Linked DNA regions of Mus musculus. The protein of the gene in region 1 purifies or fractionates together with the protein of each later gene. This does not show direct contact. Links are inferred from orthologs where the notes say so. Each region holds a gene or a part of one and is shown in the gene's direction. Other genes may lie near its edges.

Evidence for each region.
Region 2: the proteins of Cul7 (region 1) and Fbxw8 purify together in Homo sapiens (affinity purification with western blotting; 12 studies listed by BioGRID and IntAct, with this or other methods). This does not show direct contact. The link is inferred for Mus musculus from reciprocal best matches to the Homo sapiens genes CUL7 and FBXW8.
Region 3: the proteins of Cul7 (region 1) and Rbx1 purify together in Homo sapiens (affinity purification with mass spectrometry; 9 studies listed by BioGRID and IntAct, with this or other methods). This does not show direct contact. The link is inferred for Mus musculus from reciprocal best matches to the Homo sapiens genes CUL7 and RBX1.

Annotation. Positions count from the first base shown.
Region 1 is NC_000083.6:46,653,212-46,656,855, forward strand, and holds part of Cul7 (cullin-7), read left to right. Parts: intron 1-538; coding exon 539-677; intron 678-774; coding exon 775-971; intron 972-1,222; coding exon 1,223-1,448; intron 1,449-2,303; coding exon 2,304-2,541; intron 2,542-2,632; coding exon 2,633-2,738; intron 2,739-3,644. UniProt on the Homo sapiens protein: Core component of the 3M and Cul7-RING(FBXW8) complexes, which mediate the ubiquitination and subsequent proteasomal degradation of target proteins. Core component of the 3M complex, a complex required to regulate microtubule dynamics and genome integrity.
Region 2 is NC_000071.6:118,089,338-118,092,981, reverse strand, and holds part of Fbxw8 (F-box/WD repeat-containing protein 8), read left to right. Parts: intron 1-279; coding exon 280-486; intron 487-3,644. UniProt on the Homo sapiens protein: Substrate-recognition component of the Cul7-RING(FBXW8) ubiquitin ligase complex, which mediates the ubiquitination and subsequent proteasomal degradation of target proteins.
Region 3 is NC_000081.6:81,464,903-81,469,190, forward strand, and holds the start of Rbx1 (E3 ubiquitin-protein ligase RBX1), read left to right. Parts: upstream 1-1,413; 5' UTR 1,414-1,470; coding exon 1,471-1,548; intron 1,549-3,252; coding exon 3,253-3,331; intron 3,332-4,288. UniProt on the Homo sapiens protein: E3 ubiquitin ligase component of multiple cullin-RING-based E3 ubiquitin-protein ligase (CRLs) complexes which mediate the ubiquitination and subsequent proteasomal degradation of target proteins, including proteins involved in cell cycle progression, signal transduction, transcription and transcription-coupled nucleotide excision repair.

The DNA of each region.
Region 1 (3,644 bases):
AGACTGTGACACTGAATTTTCATTCTGGGTGAGGCATCCAATACACACTGGGCATTCTATACTGCGGCTCAGTTAAGTTCCAAAGGACACGGAGCCCTTGGAATATGGGAGCAAAGGTGCGTCAGACCCAAGAAGAAACCGATGGATTAGAATTTGGAAGATGGGCTTTCTGAGGCCAGATGGAAGTACTGAGCCATGGTATCTAAGACAGAGAGGATCCAGGCCGTGGTAGGATGCTTGTAATCCCAGAGGTAGAGAGAGGCAGAAAGATAGGGAGTTCAAGGCCAGCCATGGCCACATAGCAATGTTGAGGTCAGTTTGGGACCCCCGTCTGAAAGAAAGGAAAAATGAAATTAGACTAAAGGGCATAAGGAAGTAAAGGGCATTGCTGAGGAGGAAGGTGAGGCTGTCTGTATACTGTATACATTGTTGCATATATAGTCTATATAGTCTATAGACAGTGGTCACCTTATGGGCCTTAGCTGGTCAATAGCAGGTCCTCTTCCCCTTCCCTTTCCTCCTGCCTCCAACCCTCCAGGTGTTGTGGGATTCAACAGGCCATACCTACTGGGTGCACTGGCACATGCTGGAGATCTTGGGCTTTGAGGAAGACATCGAGGATGTGATTGATATTGAAGAGTTACAGGAGCTAGGGGCCAATGGAGCACTGAGCATCGGTGAGCTCTGGGCTGGAGGTTGGCTCTGAGCAGAGAGAGATAGACCTACCTGGGCAGGCCGTGACTTGGCTGTTGCCACATACCATTTACTACGCAGTCCCGCCGTCCCAGCGCTGGAAGCCCATAACTCAGCTCTTTGCCGAGCCTTACGTGGTACCCGAGGAGGAAGACAGGGAAGAGAGCGAGAACTTGACCCAGGCTGAGTGGTGGGAGCTCCTCTTCTTCATCCGGCAGTTGAGTGAGGCAGAGCGCCTTCACATCGTGGATCTCCTGCAAGACCACCTGGAAGAGGAGGTAGGCACCCCTCAGAAGTGTCCCCCGCAAGTCTGCATCGGAACATTCGGACGCTCGGGAGGTGAAGCACGGAGGTCGGACAGCTTCAGGGGCCCACCACGGAGGGATCTGGAATGTTCAGAGATGCAAGGGTCGGTGGGCTGCCAGCCACAAGAGGTTCAGAATGGTTGATGTGTGTGTGTAGAGAGACCCCCATTCCCACCGAGGATCTGCTCGCTCAGCTGCGACAGGCTGACTTTTCTTCCCCGTAGCGCGTTCTGGACTACGATATGCTGCCTGAGCTGACCGTGCCCGTTGACTTGGCCCAGGATCTGCTGTTGTCTCTGCCTCAGCAACTTGAGGACAGTGCTCTGAGGGACCTGTTCAGCTGCAGTGTCTACAGGAAGTATGGGCCCGAAGTCCTGGTAGGGCATCTAAGCTACCCATTTGTGCCAGGTGCCCAGCCAAATTTATTCGGAGCCAATGAAGAGTCTGAAGGTGAGTGCCCTGCAGACAGCAGCAGAGAGACCTGCCTTTGGGAAAGTGTCCTCCAAGAGGTGTCTCCTCTAACAGTGTGCCATCTTGTCTGAAAGAGATACCCTACCCACAATCCCAGAAACTTACGATGTGCATGTGTGTGTGTGTCTGTATGTCCAGACCCAAGGATAATTACAGATGTCATTCCTCAGCTGTCATTTATCTTTCTTTTATTTAAATTGATTTTATTTTGGCTGAGTGTGGTGATCCACACAGATATTTGAGTTTGAGGTCAGCCTGGTCTACAGAGCAAATTCCAGGATAGCCAGGGCTACACAGAAACCCCTTTCTCAAAACTACCAAGCCCCCTCCCACTCTCCCCACCCCCAAGAAAATTATTTTATTTTATCCCTATGGATGCAGTGCCCACAGAGGTCAGAAGAGGGCACTGGCTCTCCTGGAGTTGAAGTTCTAGATCCTTGTGAGCTGCGCTGTGGATGCTGGGAACTGAACCTGGATCCCTCCCTTCTCTCTTTTACTCTTTCTCTCTCTCTCTCTTTCTTTCTTTCTTTCTTTCTTTCTTTCTTTCTTTCTTTCTCTTTCTTTCTCTTTCTTTCTCTTTCTTTCTCTTTCTTTCTTTCTTTCTTTCTTTCTTTCTTTCTTTCTTTCTTTCTTTCTTTCTTTCTTTCTTTCTTTCTTTTTTCGAGACAGGGTTTCTCTGTGTAGCCCTGGCTGTCCTGGAACTCACTCTGTAGACCAGGCTGGCCTCGAACTCAGAAAAACGTCTGCCTTTGCTGCCCAAGTGCTGGGATTAAAGATGTATGCCACCACTTTTTGGCAGTGCTGCCAATTCTTACCACCCTCTTGTTCCTTCAGCCAAAGATCCCCCACTTCAGAGTGCCAGCCCTGCCCTGCAGCGCCTGGTGGAGAGCTTGGGCCCCGAAGGGGAGGTCCTTGTGGAACTGGAACAAGCCCTCGGCTCCGAGGCTCCCCAGGAAACTGAGGTCAAGTCCTGCTTGTTGCAGCTCCAGGAGCAGCCCCAGCCCTTCCTCGCTCTGATGCGGAGCCTGGACACTTCCGCCAGCAACAAGACCCTGCACCTCACTGTGCTCAGGTGGGGGGCAGTGAGGGGCAGGCTTGGGCACCTGAAGGCCTCACGCCAACCTGATCTCCTTCTACCTTTCCGGCTCTGTCTCTCCCTCTAGAATCTTAATGCAGCTGGTGAACTTCCCAGAGGCGCTGTTGCTACCCTGGCACGAGGCCATGGATGCCTGCGTGACCTGCCTTCGGTCCCCCAATACTGACCGAGAGGTAACCCTGTCCCACTCTGGGGAGAAGCTGGGGGATGGGGAGGACACCAGTGAGGTAGACCCCATTTCCCTGCTCCGGGCGAGGCTTGGAGGACGCAACAGAATCTTGGTGTTCTCGCTTTTAAAATGAAAAAAAAATTTTTTTTTAAAATAGGTAGTACATTCACAAAGTTCACAAGTCCAAATGGCACAAGGTAGTCAGTCCTTGAGAATCCTGGCTCTTCACCGATTCCTATTGTCTCAGTGTCCTTGCTGGTAACCCACTGTATTAATTATTAGTCCATCCCGTGCTTCCTTATGCAAACAGGAACAAGCTCTGTGGACTTCCTTCCAGCCAGGCCCTCAAGAGGAAGGGGAGGGGGTCCCCTGCTCTTGCAGAGGACGCAGATTTCATTCTCAGCACCCACAGGGCAGTTCACAACTGTCTGTAACTCCAGTTCCAGGGAATCAGATAACCTCCTCCTAGCTCCATGCACACACATGGTGTGACACGTACGTGCAAGGCAAATACTCAGACACATAAAATTCAAAAAAAATTTTAAAAAGCTTTTAAGTGAGGGAGTGAGGGACTCCCAGGACTTTCCTTCCTATCAGAGGTCCTGGGGACAGGAGGTGTTAGAAGGGTCAAAGGTCGTGATGTTAATGAGTTTCCCAAAGTGATGCCTTCGGTTTCCAAGCTGTTCTTACTGAGGGTCAGCAAAGTTCAGGCCTTCTCTATCCCCTGCCAGCCCTCTTAAGTGTCTGGGCTGGGGGCGTACACATCTCAACACCAACCCTGCAACTGGTTCTTGGGGGGGCCACAGCTGAATCAAAGAAGTAAGGGTTTTTTACCTGCTCCGCACACACTCGGTGGCTGAGAGCTCCAGGGGCCAGGAAGGCTTTTCCCATCGGTTTGGCCTCGTTTCTC
Region 2 (3,644 bases), on another chromosome or scaffold:
GGTAAGTGCTGCCATCCTTCCCTTAGCAGGAGTTGGACTGGATTAGATCTCCTGGTCCCTCCAGCTGTGTCCTCGGGCTTCCTGAGCCTTGCTTGTGCTGAGTCGGGGGGACGTGGCTTCCCTTCTCAGAGTGCACTTGGTTTTCACTGTTAGAGGCATCTTTTCATTGGACAGGAGCCATGCCCATCCCTGTAAATGGTCCCTGTGCTCAACTGTTTCTTGACTGTACAGACCAAGTCGAGATGACTGGGGGGCACTAAACAACTCCTCTCTCCACAGGTTGACTACCTTGAAATAGTTCCGAATACTGGGAGGTACCCTGTGGCAATAGCCACAGCCGGGGATCTGGTGTACCTGCTGAAGGCCGACGACTCAGCCAGAACCCTTCATTATGTCTATGGCCAGCCTGCCACATGTCTGGATGTCTCAGCCAGCCAGGTTGCCTTTGGAGTGAAGAGTCTAGGATGGGTGTATGAAGGAAACAAGGTATGGAAACAGTGGCATGTATACATTAACAAGGAAGAGTATAGATTTGGTTTTTAAGGCAGCCAAAAAATGAAGCACTTTGTGTTTTGTTTGGTTTGGTTATGGTTGTTTGAAACAGGGTCTCGCATATCCCAGGCTGTCCTAGAACTCATGATGTGCTGGGAGGAGCCATGTGCACCACCACACAAGTAGTGTGTTAACACTCTGAATGCTCTTGTTTTCAGCTGGTTCAGGGCAGTGTATGAGCAAGACAGAAATGTCCAAGCAATGAAATGGAGCACGAGACGGAGTTCCTCCTCCGCTGCACACAGGTGTCCATGTAGACGCCAGATAGACAGACAGACAGACAGACAGACAGAGGCTGAGGATGGATCTTTGTAGACAGAGGGTCATGGTATGTGACCTGTTCTGTGCCTAGCAGTGTACCTTGGGCAGTGTTTCACCTCTCATGTCCCCAGCTCCCTGCTGTAGAGTTCCAGCTTGTGCTTAGAGCTCATAGTCCAGAGGCACAGACGTAAGTTCCCCGTGTGTATAGCTCTAGGCAAACCTGCTGGTAGGCGGCTCACAGCAGCCTAATGAGCAGCACAGGCGCTTTCAGTGCCATCTGAATGCATACGGCCAATTCAGAGTCCACAAGCACATAGTCACTGAGCCTCTAGTGCATGGCTTAACCGACACGGGCCAGCAGCCGACTGACATGTGTCTGCTCTTTATAGCTAGGACTCAGATGAAGGCTTTGTGAGAACAGAGAGTTTTGATCTGACTTCATTTGTACCTGATACAGGACTGGGGCTTAACTACAGTCCACTATTGATCAGCCATGATAAAAGCCCACTGACATCCAAACACTATGATGGATTTTAATCAGGGGCTTAACTCTGTAGCCTGTAGGAGTATCCAAGGGTGCTATTTCTGGTCACTGGACGATGTCTCTGTACCATATGCTGACCACACTGGTGGTTTAGGCCCACAGCTGTGTGAACATTGAGTAATAGTGTTTCGGCGTCCACCCTTCATCCACTAAGTTGGCAGGTCCTGTGGGCATCGCAGGTAGCCACGACATCAGTGTGTGGCTGGCAGTGGAGTGTTAGACAGCATTACACACAGATTTCGGTGTTAATAAGCCCTCTACAGAGCTTGTCTGTCTGAGCTGGAAGCAGGGCTGCCCTCGGTGGTGCAGGCTGGCAGGCCTGGGGGAGTCAGTGCTCTGTACACCTGGACCCTCATGCAGCCATTGTTCCTGGGCTCGATGTGCAGGGCAAAGCAGGTGCCACACAGCACTTACCAGCATCTTCTTTGGCTATACAAAGTCAAAGAAAAGTTTCTAGTTTGTATTTTTGCCTTTACTTTAAAACAGATTTTTAAACACTTTAATATATATATATGTGAGGGTATTTTGTCTGCATGTATGTTTGGGCACTAAGCATGCAGTACCTGCAGAGGCCAGAAGAGGGCACTGAACTCCTGGAATGGGAGTTCCAGATGGCTGTGAACCACCAAGTGGGCTCTGGGAACTAAATCCAGGTCCTTCGCAGAACAGCCAGTACTTTGAACCAGAGCCACTGCTCCAGCCCCTGGAGTACTTTTGTTCGGACTCCTGATTGAGAATTTCAGATATGGGAAGTGTAGGGCAGGAGCTTCCTCCCCAAGCCTGTCAGCTACTGCCTGTCATTTGGTTTTGGAGCCAAGTTGGTGTTGTCCATTTCTTGTGCATCCTTGTGAAATGGGCCCTCTTTCTGTAAAGTGTGGGTGGAGCTGGGTGTGGTAGCTCTCACCTTTCATCCCAGCACCCTGGAGCAGAGGCAAGCAGATATTTGTCTTGAAGGTTAGCCTGATCTACATAAGGAGTCCAGGCCAGTTAGGGCTCTCATGAGTGACCCGCCTCAGGAAGATGATCATGGGTAAGTGCTAGAGCACTCTGCATCACTGCTCCTTGTCTCTGCCTGTTGGGGTGACTTTGTAACACATCACAGAGCCCCCTGCTCCTGTTTGGTTGGGTTTTAGAGCTTTCTGGCATCGATCAGGCCGTATGTGTGGCCTCACCATTCCACCCACTCTGCAAGAGTGTGGCTTGCACCAGTGCTTACAGGGTAAGCTTCTCTCTGAGGACTCACTGGGTCAAACCTGCTGCCCTGAGGATATTCTTGAGGGGTAACAGCGCCCACCCCACAGACTTCCTGGGTGCCTCTTCTCTAGGCTTTGCGGCTGGGAAGGAGGGTGGGGCTTTGCCTGACTTTGTTGTTCAGTTTATACTTTGTATCTCTCTGCTTGGAAGGCTTCCCCACATGGAGTGGCAGTGCCAGCAGCACTTAGGCCAGTGTCATGGTGCAGAGTGGTGAGTGCACTGCTGCGCACCTCTCCGCTGCTTGCTGGATACTCCTGGGGCCCATGGTTCTGGGGAACACTTGTCTGACCTCTCTTAGGCAATGAGGAATGGACCATGACTTCTGGGTTTGGTGAGCGGGGCTGAGCAGCTGAGGCTTATATGTTGTCTCTAAGGGCCATGCTCATTGCATCGGGCAGGGATGATGGTGCAGGAATCATTCCCAGTGTCCCAGCAAGAAGGGCTGCTCGGAGGTCTTTAACTTAGAGCAGAAAAGAATTCTGAGTCTCTGATGTCCGTTCTTAGTTCTCAGACTTGAGTATAAATGTCACTGAATGGCAGCTGACAGTAGAAGAGGCAGAAGTGTCTTAACCACGTCGTTTCACACTGCCATGCATCCACACAGCCCTCAACATGGCCCTGATAGTCCAGCAGCCTCCTAAAACTTGGTTTTGTCACGTAGTTTGGAATTCATCAGCAGTGCTTTTGTTTCCGTAACGATTTATAACAGCACACTACCTTTATTAATCTCTTTGCTGCCTGAATGTGCTCTCAGGGTGGATGGCTAGAGGCAGAGCTGCCGCGGGCGAACACCATGCTGTCGATGAGCTCGTGTCTCATAAAGGGATCCGGAGCCCCACTTAGTGCTCTCAGCATCGCTCTGTGGAGCTGGACATATTTCCCAATTTAGTTCTGAAGCTCTTGGCATTTGATGGCAGATTGTATTAAGCAGCACGCGGAGTGCATCCTAATCAGGGCAAAGGGTGAAGTCATCGCAGGCTGGAGTGAGCTGGGCAGGGAGGGAGGCTGGCTTAGGCTGCAGCAGCTTACATCA
Region 3 (4,288 bases), on another chromosome or scaffold:
ATAATAATAAACCAAAAATTAAAAGACGAAGTAACATACTCAGGATAGTTGTTGACGAATGGATAAATATGTCCTCAGTATCTTAATTAACTATGGGTTTCTAGCATCCCTTAGGGGGTCTGTAGACACATAGACCAATGACAGATTTAGTGTGGGAGGTAGAACTTGGGCAGACACACACACACCTTGCAGGGCTCTCACAAGTCTCTGTGCAAGTTAAAACTGTGGTGGTATTCAGGATGTATTGCCCTGCTTAGCAAGTGCATCAATGACACACCGCATTACACACCAGCAAGTATTTCTTTTAACAGAACATTTCAGGACAGGCAGTGGTGGCGCATGCCTTTAATCCCAGCACTTGGGAAGCAGAAGCAGGCAGATTTCTGAGTTCGAAGCCGGCCTAGGTCCAGTCCTGAGTTCCAGGACAGCCAGGGCTACACAGAGAAAAACCCTTTCTGGGGGGGGGGAGGGGCACATTTCCGGTAAAACCCTTTTTGTTGTACTGTTGAGGGAACTAGAACACACAGGAAATTCAAGGGTGATGTATTCTAGTCATAACTCCGCAAATTTAGGAGACAAAACAGCGGAGGGCTGGACTAATCATGGAAGCTTACAAAACGTATGTGTTCTGTAGCTCGATGGTAATGACCGGTAAGAAAATCAGAATGCCTCACCAGAACTCAAGTTCAGCCACTACAAATGTACTAATTTAATCGTAGCACAGTAGCAAAACTCGATAGGAAATGAGGAGAAAGGAGGACCATTTAGAACTGGCTGGTTATGGGATTTACTATGGCATCCCCATCACCTTTCCTGTGAGAAGATAAAGGCAAAGTTGCAGAATGCCTGCTCTGTTTGCTCCTGGGCCTCTTCTCTCCCTATCAAATAATTTCCCAATCTGAAATTGATAACGCAGACGGTGACCAGGCCTTGGTAAGCCGGGCCACAGGCCTCCAGAGAGACACCGCCTGGCTCCGAAGCCGACCACGGTCAGCAGAAGGCCGGTTTGGAGTTTCGGGTTTCCAAAGACCAGCCCATGCCCTTTGCAACCACGGACTCGGGGGCAGCTCTGTGGATCTGGACCAGGGCTTAAGTCCTGGGGCAGAAGAAGGAAGCAGCCGCCGCCCCAAATGAAGGAGTCAGACCACAGGGCTTCCCAGAATGCGAGAAGCATCGAGACCTCACGGACGTTCCCACCGGTTGGCTCCCTTCTCTCGGCCCCGCCCGGCCCCGCCCGGCCCCGCCTCAATCACTCCAGCCTCCTCCCCAGCTGAGAGAGATGGGGAGGAGGGGGGCGGGAAACCTCCGCCTGCGCCTTTAAGGGGCGTGACCGCAGGCTCCGCCCCTTCTCCACGCTCGCGCCAATGAGGGGAGGGGTGCGGGAGGAGGCGCCTGGTGTGCGGGGCAGGCGGCGGAAAGTGAGCCGGTGCGCAGGCGCAGTGGTCACACGACAGACTGTGTGTTTCCAAAATGGCGGCGGCGATGGATGTGGATACCCCCAGCGGCACCAACAGCGGCGCGGGCAAGAAGCGCTTTGAAGTTAAAAAGGTTGGGCTCGCCAGCGCCTTCCTCAAGGAAGCTAGGGAGGCGCGGATATGGCTGGCAGGCCCGAGGAAGAGCTAGGCGCGGGGGAAAGGGCTTCATTTCAGGGCGTTCCTGGGACCGGGCACCAAGAACGGAAGCCGGGGGGCGGGCCTAGGGTTGATCGGCATGCTGGTGGCCCAGTGTCTGGGGCCCTATTAGTCTTGCTGGGGAAGCTGTGGGGCCAATCGCAGAGCTGCTTACTGAAATACGCGAGGTTGACTTCGATGCGGGAGCCAAGCGCTTGAGCTGTCACTGAAGTGACTGAGAGGTGGGGGAAGGACAGGGTGGGGTGGGTGGGATGCAGACTCGTGAAGAGACTGCGGCGGGTGGAGGATGGGGCCGTGCGGAGAACCCCGGGAACGTGAGATGACAGCGCAGAGGGGCTCTGCCGGTGTTCTTGCTCCGCCCCTTCCTGGATCCTAGAATCTATTGACTCCGAGGGACCTGGCGTGGGCCCTCGATTGTATGGCGGCCTCCATTGGCCTCTAAACCCACAGTCAAGTGTAAAGCTTGGTTCTAACGAGATGGCTACTAGTTGTCACATAGCATCTGCCACTCCAGTGGTTCTCTGATGTCCCTGTACACTTCTAACACAAAATGATAATTTAAAAGCCTGGTGGGCTTTGTTTTAAAAGCAAGCCCAGAACTTGTGCCATTTAAGAAGGTGGAGTACTAATTGCTAATGACCTGAGAACAGAAAAACAAAAATATGAAACGTCCTTTTGTATGCCGTTCCCCTTCATAGTTTGCTAGTCCTTTAAAAGTGTTGATTCCTACCTAAGATTACACAGATCTGTTAAAAATGAAGATCTTGAAGAGGGCAAGGTGTTTTCTTTTTATGGATTATTTTTGGAACGTGTCGCTGAGAATATCCCTCACCCCACCCCCTTTTTGTGTCATCTCATTGTGGCCACTGCTGCTCAGTTACAGCCTGCAGCCATTATGAAAAATAAAAATGTAATGTAGAATTTACTAAACTCTTATGCTTGAATTTGGAAAGTCAAACCAAAGTAGTCCTTGAAAAGGGTGCCTTGTCTAACATAAGAAGTCTTAGGTCGACTTACTGGAGCTAACAAAGTAATTGTTTGGATATATGAACGTTGAGAACATCAGTTTACTTGGTAAGAGGAAAAGAAAATCGCAGTGGATTCTACTTTGCTTGCAGTGCTCTTTTAAGGTTTAAGTGATGACCTCGTTCTGTGTACTGAAACTGGGTAGGTAACTTGCTATCCAGCTTATCCTGTGATTATCCACTTAGTGGTCCATTTATTATCTTAGTTCAGTCTGTTCACTTCCTTGCCTCTGAGTCCAAAACTTTGTGGAGAGCCCGTGCTTATGCAGATTTTGAGTTCTTCCACAGCTGTCAGGGAAAGCTGTACAGAAAATAGTACTAATATTCTCACGTTGGTTTGGCTAGCTAAATTATTTTACATTATATATAAAAAATTGAAGATACCCATGTTCATATACTTCATCTTTCAAGGAATGGGGAAGTGTACAGGTGGTCTGCTGTTGTCCTCTGATATAGTCCAAATAGTATAATCCAAAAACATCCTTTCTTTGGTAGGCCCTGTGGCTGGGGCGTTGGTAACTGAAGCTGCAAGCTGAAGTCCTAATGAGCTGTTAGATTACAAGGAAAATGCATTGTTTCCCCTCTTCTCCTTGCAGTGGAATGCAGTGGCCCTCTGGGCCTGGGACATTGTGGTTGATAACTGTGCCATCTGCAGGAACCACATTATGGATCTTTGTAAGTAACTCGGGGCAGATGGGAAGAAGTTGAGAAGGTTACAGAAATGGTGGTCATCCTGGTGTGCCCAATTGTCTTCTTTACCAGTGAATACAAAGCAGGCTCAGAACCCTTAGGCACTTGTGTATCTCATCCATTGGTGTGTTTGAAGTAGATTGTTTTGTGGTTGTTTGTGGAGACAGAGTTTTTTGTGTAGCCCTAGCTCTACTAGAACTCACTTTGTAGTAGACCAGGCTGGCCTTGAACTAGAGATCCACCTGCCTCTGCCTCCTGAATTAAATTGTTTCTTTTCTTTTCTTTTTTTTTTTTTTTTTTTTTTTTTTTGTGGGGTTTTTTTTTTTTTTTTGTGGGTTTTTTTTTTTTCTTTCTTTCTTTTTTTTCCCCCCAGACAGGGTTTCTCTGTGTAGCCCTGGCTGTCCTGGAACTCACTTTGTAGACCAGGCTGGCCTTGGACTCAGAAATCCACCTGCCTCTGCTTCCCAAGCGCTGGGATTAGAGGCGTGCACCACCACCGGTTAAGTTGTTTCTTAAAACAATGTCTTGGAGGCGTACCTTGCTCTCAGAATGAATTATTCATTGTAAATCAGGCAAGATCCCATTTAAAATGGGGTGTAGATAGAGTTGCCTTTTATTTCCTTCTTAGACAGCCATAAAGGCAAAAATAGTGGAAGAAAATGACCTTTGAAGGTAGATATAGTGGTATATGCCTGGAATCCCAGCATTTGAAAGGCAGTGGCAGGAGTATTGTTACAAATTACAGGCCCATCAGGGCTAAGATTTGAACTACAGTACTCTTACCTAAGCTAGTTTTTGTTGAACAAGATTACAATCACAGATTGGAGAGATGGTTCAGGAGTTAAGAACATTGGCTGCCCTTCCAGAGGACCCCGGTTCATTTCCCAGCAACCACATGCAGGCTCACCTTGCATAGACTATCACTTCAGTCCCAAGGGATTT